Linked DNA regions of Anolis sagrei. The protein of the gene in region 2 binds, or shares a complex with, the protein of the main gene of each other region. Links are inferred from orthologs where the notes say so. Each region holds a gene or a part of one and is shown on either strand. Other genes may lie near its edges.

Region 1 (7,656 bases), on a different chromosome or scaffold from region 2:
CACCACACTCCGGGGCAGAGAGTTCCACTGCTGAACGGCTCTCACAGTCAGGAAGTTCTTCCTAATGTTCAGATGGAATCTCCTCTCTTGTAGTTTGAAGCCATTGTTCCGCGTCCTAGTCTCCAAGGAAGCAGAAAACAAGCTTGCTCCCTCCTCCCTGTGGCTTCCTCTCACATATTTATACATGGCTATCATATCTCCTCTCAGCCTTCTCTTCTTCAGGCTAAACATGCCCAGCTCCCCAAGCCGCTCCTCATAGGGCTTGTTCTCCAGACCCTTGATCATTTTAGTCGCCCTCCTCTGGACACATTCCAGCTTGTCAATATCTCTCTTGAATTGTGGTGCCTAGAATTGGACACAATATTCCAGATGTGGTCTAACCAAAGCAGAATAGAGGGGTAGCATTACTTCCTTCGATCTAGACACTATGCTCCTATTGATGCAGGCCAAAATCCCATTGGCTTTTTTTGCCGCCACATCACATTGTTGGCTCATGTTTAACTTGTTGTCCACGAGGACTCCAATATCTTTTTCACACGTACTGCTCTCGAGCCAGGCGTCACCCATTCTGTATCTTTGCATTTCATTTTTTCTGCCAAAGTGGAGTATCTTGCATTTGTCACTGTTGAACTTCATTTTGTTAGTTTTGGCCCATCTCTCTAATCTGTCAAGATCGTTTTGAATCCTGCTCCTGTCCTCTGGACTATTGGCTATCCCTCCCAATTTGGTGTCGTCTGCAAACTTGATGATCATGCCTTCTAGCCCTTCATCTAAGTCATTAATAAAGATGTTGAACAGGACCGGGCCCAGGACGGAACCCTGCGGCACTCCACTTGTCACTTCTTTCCAAGATGAAGAGGAAGCATTAGTGAGCACTCTCTGTGTTCGTCCACTTAACCAATTACAGATCCACCTCACCGTAGTTTTGCCTAGCCCACATTGGACTAGTTTCCTTGCCAGAAGGTCATGGGGGACCTTGTCGAAGGCCTTACTGAAATCCAGGTACGCTACATCCACGGCATTCCCCGCATCTACCCAGCTTGTAGCTCTATCGAAGAAAGAGATCAGATTAGTCTGGCATGACTTGTTTTTGATAAATCCATGTTGACTATTAGCGATGACTGCATTTGTTTCTAAGTGTTTGCAGACCGCTTCCTTAACAATCTTTTCCAGAATCTTGCCCGGTATCGACGTGAGGCTGACCGGACGGTAGTTGTTTGGGTCGTCCTTTTTTCCCTTCTTGAAGATTGGGACCACATTGGCCCTCCTCCAATCTGCTGGAACTTCTCCCGTTCTCCAAGAACTCTCAAAGATGGTTGCCAATGGTTCCGAAATGACTTCCGCTAGTTCCTTCAGTACTCTTGGGTGTAGTTGATCTGGCCCTGGGGACTTGAACTCATTAAGAGCGGCCAGGTATTCCTGGACGAATTCTTTCCCAATTTGGGGTTGGATGTCCTCCAATCCCTCATCCACTCCATCTTGCTGAGGTTGAAGACTCTCTTTTTGTGAGAAGACCGAGGCAAAGAAGGCATTAAGTAGTTCTGCCTTTTCCCTATCCCCTGTCAGCATTGCCCCATCTTCTCCTCAAAGAGGTCCTATCGCCTCCTTGTTTTTCCTTTTTCTACTGACATAAGAATAGAAGGCCTTTTTATTGTTTTTAATGTCCCTGGCAAGTCTGAGCTCGTTTTTTGCTTTAGCCTTGCGGACCTTTTCCCTACAGCTGTTGGCTATTTGTTTGAATTCTTCTTCTTCTTCTTCTTCATGAATTCTTTCATGTCAGGGGAAAACCTTTACCTTACTATATATATTACATTCTATAAAACACATACATTAAAATACATGGTACAAAGTTTAAAATGCCATAGTAATATAGGATAAATGTAAAAATCATAGTTTAAAAATGATTGGGTAGGCCTGCCAGAAGAAAAGGTTCATATTCCACCAGTTTACTTTCAGTAGTCAACAATATGCTTTAAATCAGGGGTCATCATACTTTTTAAACAGAGGGCCAGGTCAAAGTCACTCAAACTGTTGGAGGGCCGGATTAAAATTTGGGAAAAAAATGAATGAATTCCTATGCACACTGCACATATCTTATTTGTAGTGTAAAAACACTTAAAAACAATACAATAATTGAAATGAATAACAATTTTAACAAATATAAACGTATTAATATTTTAACGGGAAGTGTGGGCCTGCTTTTGGCTGATGAGATAAGATTGTTGTTGTTGTGTGCTTTCAAGTAGTTTCAGACTTAGGTTGACCCTGAGCGAGGGCCGGGTAAATTGTTACATCCCGAACAGATTACTGCAACGTGCTCTATGTGGGGTTGCCTTTGAAAGCTGTTCGGAAACTTCAGCTAGTCCAATGGGCGGCAGCTAGATTAATCAACAGAGCGTCATACAGGGAACATACCACCCCTCTGTTATGTCAGCTCCACTGGCTGCCGATCCAGTTCCGAGCACAATTCAAAGTGCTGGTTTTGACCTATAAAACCCTATACGGCTCCGGCCCAGAGTACCTGTCCGAACGTATCTCCTTTTATGTCCCACCTCGGAGTTTAAGATCTTCTGGGGAGGCCCTGCTCTCGGCCCCGCCTCTATCACAAGTGAGACTGGTGGGGACGAGGGACAGGGCCTTCTCAGTGGTGGCCCCTCGCTTGTGGAATTCACTCCCTGGGGAAATTAGGTCATCAACATCCCTCCTCTCCTTCAGAAGGAGGCTGAAAACATGGATATGGGACCAGGCCTTTGGGTAATCTGACAGACTGATAAGGTAATGACAACCAGAATTTGGAAAGGGCTATGGTAATGCTGAATGGACTTACGGATTTTAGAACTCGGTGAACGTTGACCACTAGATTGTCTTTTTAGTTGTTATTGTATTAATTGATTGTTTTTAACTATTGTGGCTATTGCTGTTATGTATTTTATCTGTTGAATTGTTGGCATCGAATTGTGCCGGTTGTAAGCCACCCTGAGTCCCCCCAGGGGTTGAGAAGGGCGGGGTAGAAGTGCCCGAAATAAATAAATAATAATAATAAATAAATTACCTTGGAGGGCCAGATCTGGCCCCCAGGCCTTAGTTTGAGGATCCCTGCTTTAAATAATATTACCTCCCATTGTCCTGGCATCACTCTATCCGAACATTTCAGTATTCTGGAGGATGAACGAAGGATGCAGGAGGAGGAGGAGGCAGAAGAATGAACGAAGGCAATAAACTGGTTTCCATTACCCTCCTTGTTGTTGTTCATTCGTTCAGTTGTCTCCGACTCTTCGTGACCTCATGGACCAGCCCACGCCAGAGCTCCCTGTCAGCCGTCACCACCCCCAGCTCCTTCAAGGTCAGTCCAGTCACTTCAAGGATGCCATCCATCCATCTTGGCCTTGGTCGGCCCCTCTTCCTTTTACCTTCCACTTTCCCCAGCATAATTGTCTTCTTTAGGCTTTCATGTCTCCTCATGATGTGGCCAAAGTACTTCAACTTTGTCTCTAGTATCCTTCCCTCCAATGAGCAGTTGGGCTTTATTTCCTGGAGGATGGACTGGTTGGATCTTCTCGCTGTCCAAGGCACTCTCAGAACTTTCCTCCAACACCACAGCTCAAAAGCATCGATCTTCCTTCGCTCAGCCTTCCCTAAGGTCCAGCTCTCACATCCGTAGGTGACTACAGGGAATACCATGGCTTTGACTAGGCGGATCTTTGTTGCCAGTCTGATGTCTCTACTCTTTACTATTTTATCGAGACTGGACATTGCTCTCCTCCCAAGACGTAAGCGTCTTCTGATTTCCTGGCCACAGTCTGCATCTGCAGTAATCTTTGCACCTAGAAATACAAAGTCTGTCACGGCCTCCACATTTTCTCCCTCTATTTTCCAGTTGTCAATCATTCTTGTTGCTATAATCTTGGTTTTTTTATGTTTAGCTGCAACCCAGCTTTTGCGCTTTCTTCTTTCACCTTGATTAGAAGGCTCCTCAGCTCCTCCTCGCTTTCGGCCATCAGAGTGGTGTCATCTGCATATCTGAGGTTGTTAATGTTTCTTCCAGCAATTTTCACCCCAGCCTTGCATTCATCAAGCCCCGCACATCACATGATGTGTTCTGCATACAAGTTAAAAAGGTTGGGTGAGAGGATGCAGCCTTGCCTTACGCCTACCATGCCCTTATCTAATACCTTATGACAGTGGCATCATTGCAGAATCATGACCCTGGGCTAACTTCCTCTTTATGTTATAATGGGCTGATAGAAATGAGAAGCGTGTGCCCTTTTATTTCATTACTGGCCTCAACTTTGCTGCAACCATTTCATCAAACTGTAACTCTCGCGATTCCTTAGTCCTGAGCCATGGCAATTAAAGCGGTGTCAAAGTGTAGCCATTCCACAATGTTGTTGCACTCCCCGGCACAACTTTGCCTTCACTTCCTTCCCTTGAGCTGCTGAATTGTATCCTCGACTTTCCCGAATCCCATTGGCTAGCTCTTGAGGCGTCTCGACCAATAGCCGCCGGGCAAAGGTGGAGATTCCTCTCGGATTGGTTGGCCGCGGGCTGCACATTCCAAACTGTGGGCGGGGCCGGGGCTGCCCCGAGCGCTGCTTCTCCTTACTTGGAGCGAAGGAGAGGGTCGGGTGTCTGGGGTTGGGACTGCGCCTGCGCACTGGGAGGAGGCAGCAGCGTAACAGGGCGGGGGCTTCGGAAAAGAGCCTGGAGTGGACCTGACCGCCTCGACCGAGATCCAGCGCCCCGGTCCCTTCCCTTCCTACAGAGGGTGAGTTCCTTGGAGATGCTTCAGAGCAGATGGCTCGCCTTCCTCGATCTGGCCGGGGAGGGGGCAGAGGGTCATCCTCTCTTCCTTCCCTGCAATTCTAGCTTCCTCTGAGGCTGAGACAGTGTGACCTGTATCTGTACTGGAGAATTAATGCAGATTGACACCGTTTTAACCTCAAACGTTCACTGTTATGGAATCTCGGGAGATGTAGTTTTAGAAGGGCTTTAGCCTTCTCTACCAAATGCCCTGATGCGCCCCCAACTCCCAGGATTGCATAGCGTTGAGCCCATGGCACTTAAAAGTGGTGTCAAGCTGCATTAGTTCTACAAGGGTCTGATCAAGGGTCTGGAGAACAAGCCCTATGAGGAGCGGCTTAAAGAGCTGGGCATGTTTAGCCCAAAGAAGAGAAGGCTGAGAGGAGACATGATAGCCATGTATAAATATGTGAGAAGAAGTCACAGGGAGGAGAGAGCAAGCTTGGAGACTAGGATGCGGAACAATGGCTTCAAACTACAAGAAAGGAGATTCCATCTAAACATGAGGAAGAACTTCCTGACTGTGAGAGCCATTCAGCAATGGAATTCTCTGCCCCAGAGTGTGGTGGAGGCTCCTTCTTTGGAACTTAGCCTAGGGTCATGATAGGATGGCCAACTGTCAGGGGTGCTTTGAATGCAATATTCCTGCTCCTTGGCAGGGGGTTGGACTGGATGGCCCATGAGGTCTCTTCCGACTCTATGACTCTATGACTGTAGATACACCCCTAGCCCTGAAAAAAAATAGTGGCCCATTGAGAGCAATGTGACAACTGATTTAGCATCCCTTATCCAGAATTCCAAAACTCGCCCAAATCCAAAATTATCTACATCCCTGGTAGCAGAGAGAGTGACACCTCTGCATTCTGATGGTTCAGTGGACACAAACTTTGTTTCATGCTCAAAATTATTAAAAGCACTGTGTGTAAAGTTACCTGGATGAAGGATGCATGGCAAGCACCAGGACTGTGGCGCAGCTGGCTGGGAGTCAGCTGCATTAAGATCACCACTGACCTAAAGGTCTTGAGTTTTAAGCCAACCCAGGTCAGAGTAAGCTTCCAACCAGTTTGTGTAGCTTGATGTCGACCTTTGCAGCCCGAAAGACAGTTGCATCTGTCAAGTAGGAAATTTAGGTACCGCTTATACGGGGAGGCTTCACTCTGGAATACTCTGCCAGGACCTATCAGCTTTCCACAGGGCGTGTAAGACATATCTGTTTCGACAGGCCTTTGATCTCTGATATTGTTGTTTTAAATTGTTTTTAAATTGTTTTAAATTGTTTTTAAATTGTGTTAGATTTTAGCCTGTTCTTGTAAGCCGCTCTGAGCCCCAGGGGAGTGGCGGCATATAAGTTTGATTTAGAAATAAATGAATAAATAAATAAATAAAATATACGATGCCTTAAAAATCTCCAGCGAGCATGCAAAGAATGAGGAAGTACTTCATCAATGTCACAAATGGACGGTGAAGCGACAGCTCCCCTGGTGGCCAGAATATCCTCATCAAAAAGCTGGAATGTTAAATAGCCTCAATGTGTCTGTGTATATATGTTGTGAGTCTATGGCATTGAATGTTTGCCATGTATATGTACATTGTAATCTGCCCTGAGTCCCCTGCACGGTGAGAAGGGCAGAATATAAACACTATAATAAATAAATAAATAAATAAGCATCAATTAATTTCCTGTTAAGACTGGGGACCTTTCTCCAAGATCTCTCTCTATGTGTATCCAAATAATCTGTTACCAAAGGCTTTCGTGGCCAAAATCACTGGGTTGCTGTGAGTTTCTCCAGGCTGTATGGCCATGTTCCAGAAGCATTCTCTCCTGACGTTTCACCCCCATCTATAGCAGGCATCCTCAGAGGTATGGAGCCCCCGGTGGCGCTGTGGGTTAAACCCCTGTGCTGGCAGGACTGAAGACCGACAGGTCGCAGGTTCGAATCTGGGGAGAGGCAGATGAGCTCCCTCTATCAGCTCCAGCTCCTCATGCGAGGACATGAGAGAAGCCTCCCAAAAGGATGATAAAAACATCAAATCATCTGGGCGTCCCCTGGGCAATGTCCTTGCAGACGGCCAATTCTCTCACACCAGAAGCGACTTGCAGTTTCTCAAGTCGCTCCTGACACGACAAAAAAAAATCCTCCGAGGTTGTGAGATCTGTTGGAAACAAGGCAAGGGGAGTTTATATATCTGTGGAATGTCCAGGGTGGGAGAAAGAACTCTTGTCTGTTTGAGGCAAGTGTGAATGTTGCAATTGGTCGCCTTGATTAGCATTTAATGGCCTTGCAGCTTCAAAGCCAAAGCAAAAGGATCCCTCCAGGCAGCAACCAGCCAGGCATGGCCATTCAGTGCTAATCAAAGTGGCCAGTTGCAACATTCACAACAACAACAACAACAACAACTTTATTTTTGTATCCCACCTCCATCTCCCCGAAAGGACTTGGAGCGGCTTACATGGGGACAAGCCTGAGCAACATAGTTAAAATATAACACATTAAAACACTTGTCAGGCACCCTGGACATTCCTCAGATATATAAACCTCGCTTGCCAGAGCTGATGTACTTATTAATTGTGGGTCTGCTCCCCATGCGCTGCCAGTAAGTTTCTGCAGGATGTTATTGTGTGCAGCTGCTTTGTGCTTGGTGACAAAGGATAAAAAGATAAACTGAATAATTGTCGTAAATTAGTCTTAAGTATACTCCTAGACATAAATTAATGTATATACATCTCTCTGTCCATATGTTGTATCATAGTAGTTCAACAGGACCTGATAGTCCCTGCATGAAGAGCAAGGAATCACTTCTAAAGTATTGACACTTTCCATCCAGAGCTGAGGGGCAAATTGTTGTAATATCTTC
Region 2 (7,852 bases):
TCCACATCACCCATATGCAGTTGAACGTTGTCCCCTCTTTCTGGACACTATCACAAGGCTGTAGCATAGAAACCCAAAACTTAGTTCATTTGTGGGAACAAAAAGGACCTGACTTCTAAACCTATCACATGCAGTGAACATCATATGTTGACATGGTCTTCTTAATTCAGTGGAACGTATTGCCAATAAGTTTTTTGTATTTATCAGTGACAAGATTTCTCACTAACCAATGGTAGTCTGGGTGGTGGTGGGTTTTCTTTACCCACAACATCTTTGGAGCTGAAAATACTAGATACTGCACAATGCAACCACGATTTATAACATTACCATAAACCGTGCAGCTGCGGAGCACATATCAAGGTCCATGGACACATTCACATCTTACAGACTGCAAATATGTTGGGCTCCACATGAGGTTTGGTACTGTCTGTATGGTTAATGGAAGTTTGTCCTAACTGAATACCTTCCTAATGTGTTTGATTATAACTGCCACATTCCTGCAGCATTACATAGATATCTGTAGGGTTATTGGGAATGTTGTTGTGTGCCTTCAATTATGACTTATGGTGACCCTAAGGAGTACCTATCATGGAGTTTTCATAGCAAGATTTGCTTTGGCCTTCTTCTGATGCTGAGAGGGTGTTGAAGGCTTCCTAGTGAGTTTCCATGACTGAGCAGGGATTAGTACCTTGGTCTCCAGAGTCATAATCCAACGCTCAGACCACTACATTGTGCTGGCATTCTTATTGGGGGGGGGGGGGGGTTGGTCTTCTGCAGGGGTTCTCAACCTTTGGTCCTCCATGTGTTTTGGACTTCAGCTCTTATAATTCCTAACAGCTGGAAAGCTGGCTGGGATTTCTGGGACTTGAAACCCAAAACACCTGGAGGACCAACGGTTGAGAACCACTGGTACTGCATTTCTAGAAAATGAGATTGAGAAAAGCTAATGTACATGATTTGTTTGAATGGGATCTGGGGGCTGCTTTATGTGTGACACTTGCCTAGTTCCTGCCACTCATCATCCTTACTCTGAGATACAGGCTAAGTTGGAAGGTCTCTTGTACATACCTTTGTTCTGTCTACACCAGGTCTGCACAACTTGCGGCCCTCCAGGTGTTTGGAACTCCAGCTCCCAAAAAACCTAGCCAGCTTGTTCAATATTCAGAAATTCTGGGAGTTGAAGTCAAAAACATATGGAGGGCCACAGGTTGTGCAAACCTGCCCTATATAATAGCGCCTAAGATGTATGCACCTAATAGTGCATATATCTTGCCCACACACCTGTCTTGTGTGTGTGTGGCAGATGGAATGAGTAAATGATTTCTGCACTTTGGCTAGCTGGCATATTGAAGCCTGGAATTCTCCCACATGTCACTATCTAGAATGCAGACATGGTCAGTGGCCCTATGTTAATTAACCAAAATGTCACTTATGACGCAGACCGAAGTCTCTCTGAAATATATCCAGTTTAAATGGTCTTATCTTAAGCAGCTCTTAAGCCCATTTGATTTGGTTTGGACTGTGCTGGCAAGCTAGCTGCATACCCAAGCTTTCCTGAAGAATGCACACATGAGTATCTCTCAGCAGTTAAGGGAATATATCTCTTTACCCCGAGTGAATACACTCCAGCTCTGCAGTTGATGACCAGAAATGCCAGTGTCATTCATGTTCACATTGGGGGGGGGGGGGATATCTATATTTTTCTAGGGGTAGAGAACTCCAAATATGCCAAGGGTGTTGTTGGTTTGAAGGAGTCATTGTGGTCCAGGGCTGCACTACAAAGGTCCGTCCCCCCCACCCCACTGCTCTATTCCTATGAATTTCTGCAATAACAAATCTCTTTCTCTTTATCTGGTTCAAACCCAAACTAATTACAACAGTCACAGGAAGGGCAGCACATAACCTTTTCCAGTAAGACATATACATTTAGCCTGCAAAGATTATGCAATTCCAAAACCTTCATTTGGCTTCTTGCAAATTAAGCTCTGGTCTAAAGCCACAGTATGGTCTATCTATCCATCTTCCCAGCCCACAGTTCAAGCAATTCTTAAACAAAACCAAGCCTCGGAGTGCAATATTTATACCTCTCTCTCTCTCTCTCTCTCTCTCTCTATATATATATATATATCAATGTTTGCACATTTAACTTGATAATGCTATGTATACTTTCCTAAGACATAATCACATAGTGTTCACTGGTACTTATTTAGTTGGCAGTGTGTTCAGAATTACAGCTGTAGCTACCGTTCTCCATATGAGACCAATCTTGCTTGGCATACTATTTTCAAATGGTCAACCACCAAATGCCAATGACAAGTAAACAAACAGCACTCTCCTATTCACATAGGGTTTACTTCTGGGTAAATATAAGAAAGGACAGTGGTGCATGATTATTTTTCATTTCAACTGATGAAATGGAAGATTTACATAAGATTACATTGATGTAACTCAGAAAAAAACATTCATATATCTTTGCTTCTGCAAATAAGTAATTAGCGCTTATAGGTGGAGTGAAAAAGCTGTGCACATGCTTCAAAAGAGGAACCCATTGTGAAAGATCCTGCAAAGCATTTCTACTAGATGCAGAAACAAATAAATGCCTAGAAAAACACAATATTATGATTCAAATGCAATTTCACTGTAAGCATCTTGTTAATGTATGGATTATAATAAATTCTAATTCACCACAATTGGAATAAAAATCAGGATTATAACAGCCATTTGAGAAACAAGCCAACTCTGATGAGGTAAACTTACAATCTTGCATAAAAGTCACATATCTCTTTGTACACTTTAACATCACTGTGCCTACGCTGCAATTTTGACACAGCTCTCTCGCCTTCATTTCCATAGTCATTGTGCCCATTTTGTTGAGCGTATGAGACTTCTTCATTTTCTGGAATTGCATAGGAGTGCCCTCTGCTTTGGGATGCCATCCTCAAAATGCTACAGACAAAATCCAACTGCAAAAGAAAGTGCCTAAGAAGCCACAGTCGGTAGAATAGTATGGAGAAAGAGCAATCCTCAGGACTCAGCTGTGTGTGGTATTGAAACCTTCAAGTGAAGTGTTCAACTGCAGAGCAGTTTGAATGTCATAGTGAGGTTGGAAGAGATTCACTGGAAGCAAAGCAACACATTCCATAGCAAGGTGGTAACACTGACTCGGGCGGAACATATGATCCCTGCTATCTGCCACTCTTAGAGAAGGGTTCTGCTAAGGCAATGTTATTTTGGATACATGGAAACTACAGCATGCTAACTGTCACTGGCAGCTTATTGTGGAAAAACTTACTCCATTGTGACGGCGCTTTGTAGTATATAGATCTCATAAACGTTAACGCCTTTGGAAAGATAATGAGGAAATGGGAACAGGTGGTTCAGAAAAAATGGAAAAAAAGAGTCCCTTTACAGATGATTACACTTGTTTCTGAGATCACCTATCTGGAGTCATAATGATTATTTCTCCCTAGATGACAGAATCGGTATGGTTCAAACCAGTCAAGGGCTGGGTCTGCCTTTTTTCCAATAAACAAGAGCACAACGATTGAGGAAGCGAGAAGATCAATGAACATTCTTCATAGGATGCTTGGGCATGGAGCTCCTGGTCATTGTGTCATCCAAAAAGGAATTCATATGACTGTGTACAGAGTTTAACAGAAGTGCACAAACCATGGCCTGTTTCACAATACACAATTACAGCACTATGATTCCACTTTAATTGTCATTGCTCTATTATCGCATAGAATTCTATGGGTTGGTAGTTGGATGAGGCACTACAGCTCTCTGGAAGAGAATTATAAATGGCTCATGGAATTATGGATCCCAGGTTTCCACAGGATGGAAAGATGGCAACTAAAATTTAATCCTACTGTAATAATTGTGCAGTGGGAAACAGCCCATATTTAAGCACTCCTGTCGCATCTTATAGAAAGGGAAGAATACCCACCAAGTGCACTCCCAGCTGTTCATTCATTTTGGAGGAAGAACCAAAGTGTTCATGCTCCACCCCCATAATCACAATTCCACACTTTTTTTTTTGTCGTGTCAGGAGCAACCACTCCTGTTGTGAGAGAATTGGCCGTCTGCAAGGACATTGCCCAGGGGATGCCTGGATGATTTTTGATGTTTTATCATCCTTGTGGGAGGCTTCTCTCATGTCCACACTGAAGGAGGAGAAGTATGCCATAAAGGAGCTTCCTCTCTGCAGATCTTTCTCCATTCACATACTTGTCACAAGTGTAACCCCGCCCTTTCCTCTTCATACAACGTGTGACAAGTGCTCACATACAGTGTCAGTGTACTTCAAATCTTGAAATTTCTTTACAATCCTTGAATAATCCTTTCTATAGTGGTACTCAACGTAAGTAAAACTGGCATTCGTCGCACATTCGTCCACATGCATAGAAAACTTCCCTGTTCAGAAAGTATTAAATGGAATCAAGGTTGTCCTTTTCAGTGGAACATGTTTCTTTGTTGGCTAGGCAGGTTCATATTGGGAAGCTCATAGAATGTCCTAAGAGAAAGTGGGAAGCTGAATTTTATTTTATGGATGAGGACAGGAATTCAATTTTAGGATGAGGAGAGGCTGTGTTCCATTGAGGGTCAAGGCCAGAGACTAAAGAAGGCCAAAAATGGTAGCATATTTCAGTATACAGCTCTAACTTCCAGAACTAAATCTCAGCATAGACATTTTGATTTTTAGAATTAAAAAAACTGTGTGATATCTGGAAAAACACCAAAGGATGGTACGCAGTGGAAGGGGATGTGGTTAACTATGGGGAGCCTGGGGAACAGATTTGACCTTCATGAAGTCCACAAAGGGCTTGATCTTCCCCATTCCTATCCTAAGTGGAAAGAAAAATACAACATTCCTGTTTTATCTCATATCTGTAAACCAATAGGAACATCTATCTCATCTTCTCTTATCTAGCCATCTGACATGAGACAATGCGGCTATACTTACTTCTGATCAGCTGAATGGCAGCTAATACATTTTAAAACAAAGACTAAAGTGTGTAATCCAGAAGACAAGCAAACATAATTCTAGAAGCCTACATTTATAGCATTTGCTACGGTGCAAGGAATGGATTCTGAATCCTTTTCAAACATATCTCAAAACAGGTAATACCACCTTCCTATTGTCAGTGGCATGGCAATATCCACCTTTCCATAAAGCAAAACTGTCATGTTTGAATTGGGTTTGATTATATACCAGGCTTGAAAAGATAAATGAAATAAGTAAACAGAGACATGAATAGATGTTTGAGTACATACTGGGCTTGCTGATGAAAACAATTACTGGGATCGGTGTGCCACACTAAAAGCTTTCTTGGAACAATTATATGTTTTTAAAATCAAGCTACACCGAATAATAAGTTAACCATGTTAAATTAAAATGAAGTTAGGCATCTGGACTAGCAGTGTACAAGGCATGGAAAATTAACCCTCCTCTGCATCATTTTCCACACTGTAAACATCCAAACTATTTTCCTTCAACAGCCTCTTAGAGAGAAACAGCAACTTTAGGAAAATGGCACAAGGAAAAAGGTTCATCTTCCCACATCTTTGTTTTGGTCTCTCTGTTCCCCATAATGCAGTTAAAAAAGAAAAAGAAATAGAAGCATCAGACCTTAACCACACTTCACTGTGTTTAACATGAAATTTGGCCAGGCAATGGACGTCCTTTTATTGAAAGCTGTGGTGGTACAAGCATTGATTAAGCTTATGGGATAAAAGAAAAGACTATTGTGTGGCCTCAGACACAAGTGTGGGTGGGATATTTGTGATAAATAAATAACCTGGATTCTTAAAATTCTCCTCCATCCAACCCAGCAAGCAGCCTAGCCTTGCACACGGTCTAATTATCTCTCACAACATACCCACAAATTAAAGCCTGTCTTCACATCCCTTCTTTGGAGGGACCGTGTGAAAAGACGATCAAGGGCGTCTTCCGGGAGGGTTACCGTTTCCCTGCAATTTGACCGGCCAGGGCAAAACCCTTAAATGTGGTATTTTAGTATAGTTTAATTAAGCATTTGTTAAAGGAAGATCTATGCTGTGTTTATGACTGACACTGATTCAACAGAGACAAGAGGTGAAAGGGGCCAAATATGTAAAATAAAATCTGTGTTTATGTGTGTATGTGGCTTCAAGCCACCTATTGATTTATGGATGCCCCGTGAATTGCATAGTTTTCTTAGCCAAGGAAAACTTAGAGGTGGCTTTGCTAGTTCTTTGCTATGAAATATAGCCTAGAGCACTTGGTAAAGGTAGGAAATGCTTTTAATATGGATTTTTCAAAGCTTGCGGATTGCTTCATACCTGAGACAAAAAGAACTTTATGATTTGTTTTGTTTTGTTTTTTTTAACCTAATGGAGAAATAAAATTGAAACTGACAGATTTGTTCATCCAGGTTAAGGCTTTAAGTACTTAACTCATAAAAGACTGGGTTTGAATTCCTGTTTATTCAACCAATGTTAGTGCTGAATTATGGCTACCACTATGGATTTAGGAGGCCTGAGTTCAAATCCCTCTTCTACCTGCCCATTTTTTCCTGAAGGACCTTCTTACCTTCTAGCAGAAAGATACAATATGTCGTTCCTCTCTATGCTTAGAAATGTTGTATCTAGCCACCTGGAACTATTTATTTCAGTTCAGTTTTAGAAGAGTTAATCAAAATTTGTAAATGTGCTCATACTTAGGGTGAAAAGTTGTTTTTTTTAAACAAGCTTGTTCACCCTCTACTTAAGGTCTGACTTGTCATTAACTGAAATATAGCTATTAGATGTTTCTGGCATATTGTTTGGATTACAAACTGAGGGACGGCTGGAAATCATCTTTTCTACATGCAACAAAGCCAGTTATATGCCTTGAACTGGTTTTACCCTTACTTCTTAATGAATGCCTCTAGGAACCAGTGTGCTGCAGTGAACATGGACTCAGGAGAACTGAGTTCAAATTCCTATTTTGTTATGAAATCTGTCAGATGGTCTTTGGCCAGTCTCTAAATTATTGCAATTTTTTGCAAGGATAAACTGGAGTGTGTCCAAAACTCCTTCAAGGAATTTCAAAACACAGAGGAGAAACAGATGGATCCTGAGAGTGATGTGTGGCTTAAGCATTCCTGTTTCTATTCCTACAATAGTGTTTCATTTTTTCTTGCTTTTCAGTCCTTCTAGACCAGTGGTTCCCAACCTGTGGTCTGCAAGAACTAAAATATGGTCCACAGCCTCACAGTTACACTGTCACAACAAGAGCAATTGGTCTTGTGAAACCTTTATAATGTCGAGGCACATTAAATATGTTTTTCTGTGGGTGAGCAGATGGCGACTACTAGATGGCATATGTTCTGTATCAACACTAGAGCTGAGGTGGTCTATCCAATGCAATTTTCTGAATCAGCACCACAAATGACCAAACCAAACTGAAAGTTGACTAAAAACTGATTCATAACCCTTTTGGTACTAATGTTAGAGAGTGGTCCCTGGTCAAAGTGGTCCCTTGTCAAAAAAGGTTGGGAACCATTGTTTTATACCTTCAGCCCTTGTGGGCACTTGGATTTACATTAGGATTTCAAAGCTTTAGACCGCATTTGCAAGAATCCCCAAATCAATATGGCCCCTGACTAGGCTCTTTCACCTATCCTTAAGATTAAGAATATTCACTACAAAAGCAACGTCTGAGATTCAGATACTGGGATCTTGTTATAATTTTCCTGAATTAACTATGATGGGACTGTAAATCTTATAGGATACAATGCAATTTCCCTACAATATTTCAAATAGTTCCCCATTCTAATTAGTAATGTTTAAAGCACATGTGTCAAATGCAAGGCCCGCAGGCTGAATCCGG

Evidence for each region. The genes of interacting proteins can lie anywhere in the genome.
Region 1: the proteins of LIMS1 (region 2) and RSU1 are in contact, whole or in part, in a crystal structure (PDB 7LT9), measured with the Homo sapiens proteins. The link is inferred for Anolis sagrei from reciprocal best matches to the Homo sapiens genes LIMS1 and RSU1. Residues at the interface, in NP_001180417.1 of Homo sapiens: Cys252, Phe253, His254, Cys255, Asn256, Leu267, Asn268, Lys269, Ser279, Thr280, Cys281, Asn282, Thr283, Glu293, Phe294, Asp295, Met296, Lys297, Cys303, Lys306, Phe307, Pro308, Glu310, Leu311, Arg314, Leu315, Lys317, Leu318, Ala319; in NP_036557.1 of Homo sapiens: Asp21, Ser23, Asp24, Gln44, Val46, Ser48, His49, Val67, Asn69, Phe71, Asn72, His90, Asn92, Met95, Glu112, Asp115, Thr117, Tyr118, Arg137, Ala138, Tyr140, Ser142, Asp143, Ile161, Ser163, Arg165, Asp166, Glu184, His186, Gln188.

What each region holds. Positions count from the first base shown.
Region 1 is NC_090026.1:105,612,120-105,619,775, reverse strand, and holds the start of RSU1 (ras suppressor protein 1), read left to right. Parts: upstream 1-4,613; 5' UTR 4,614-4,765; intron 4,766-7,656. UniProt on the Homo sapiens protein: Potentially plays a role in the Ras signal transduction pathway. Capable of suppressing v-Ras transformation in vitro.
Region 2 is NC_090023.1:107,196,273-107,204,124, reverse strand, and holds the start of LIMS1 (LIM and senescent cell antigen-like-containing domain protein 1), read right to left. Parts: upstream 3,011-7,852; 5' UTR 2,937-3,010; coding exon 2,758-2,936; intron 1-2,757. UniProt on the Homo sapiens protein: Within the IPP (ILK-PINCH-PARVIN) complex, binds to F-actin, promoting F-actin bundling, a process required to generate force for actin cytoskeleton reorganization and subsequent dynamic cell adhesion events such as cell spreading and migration.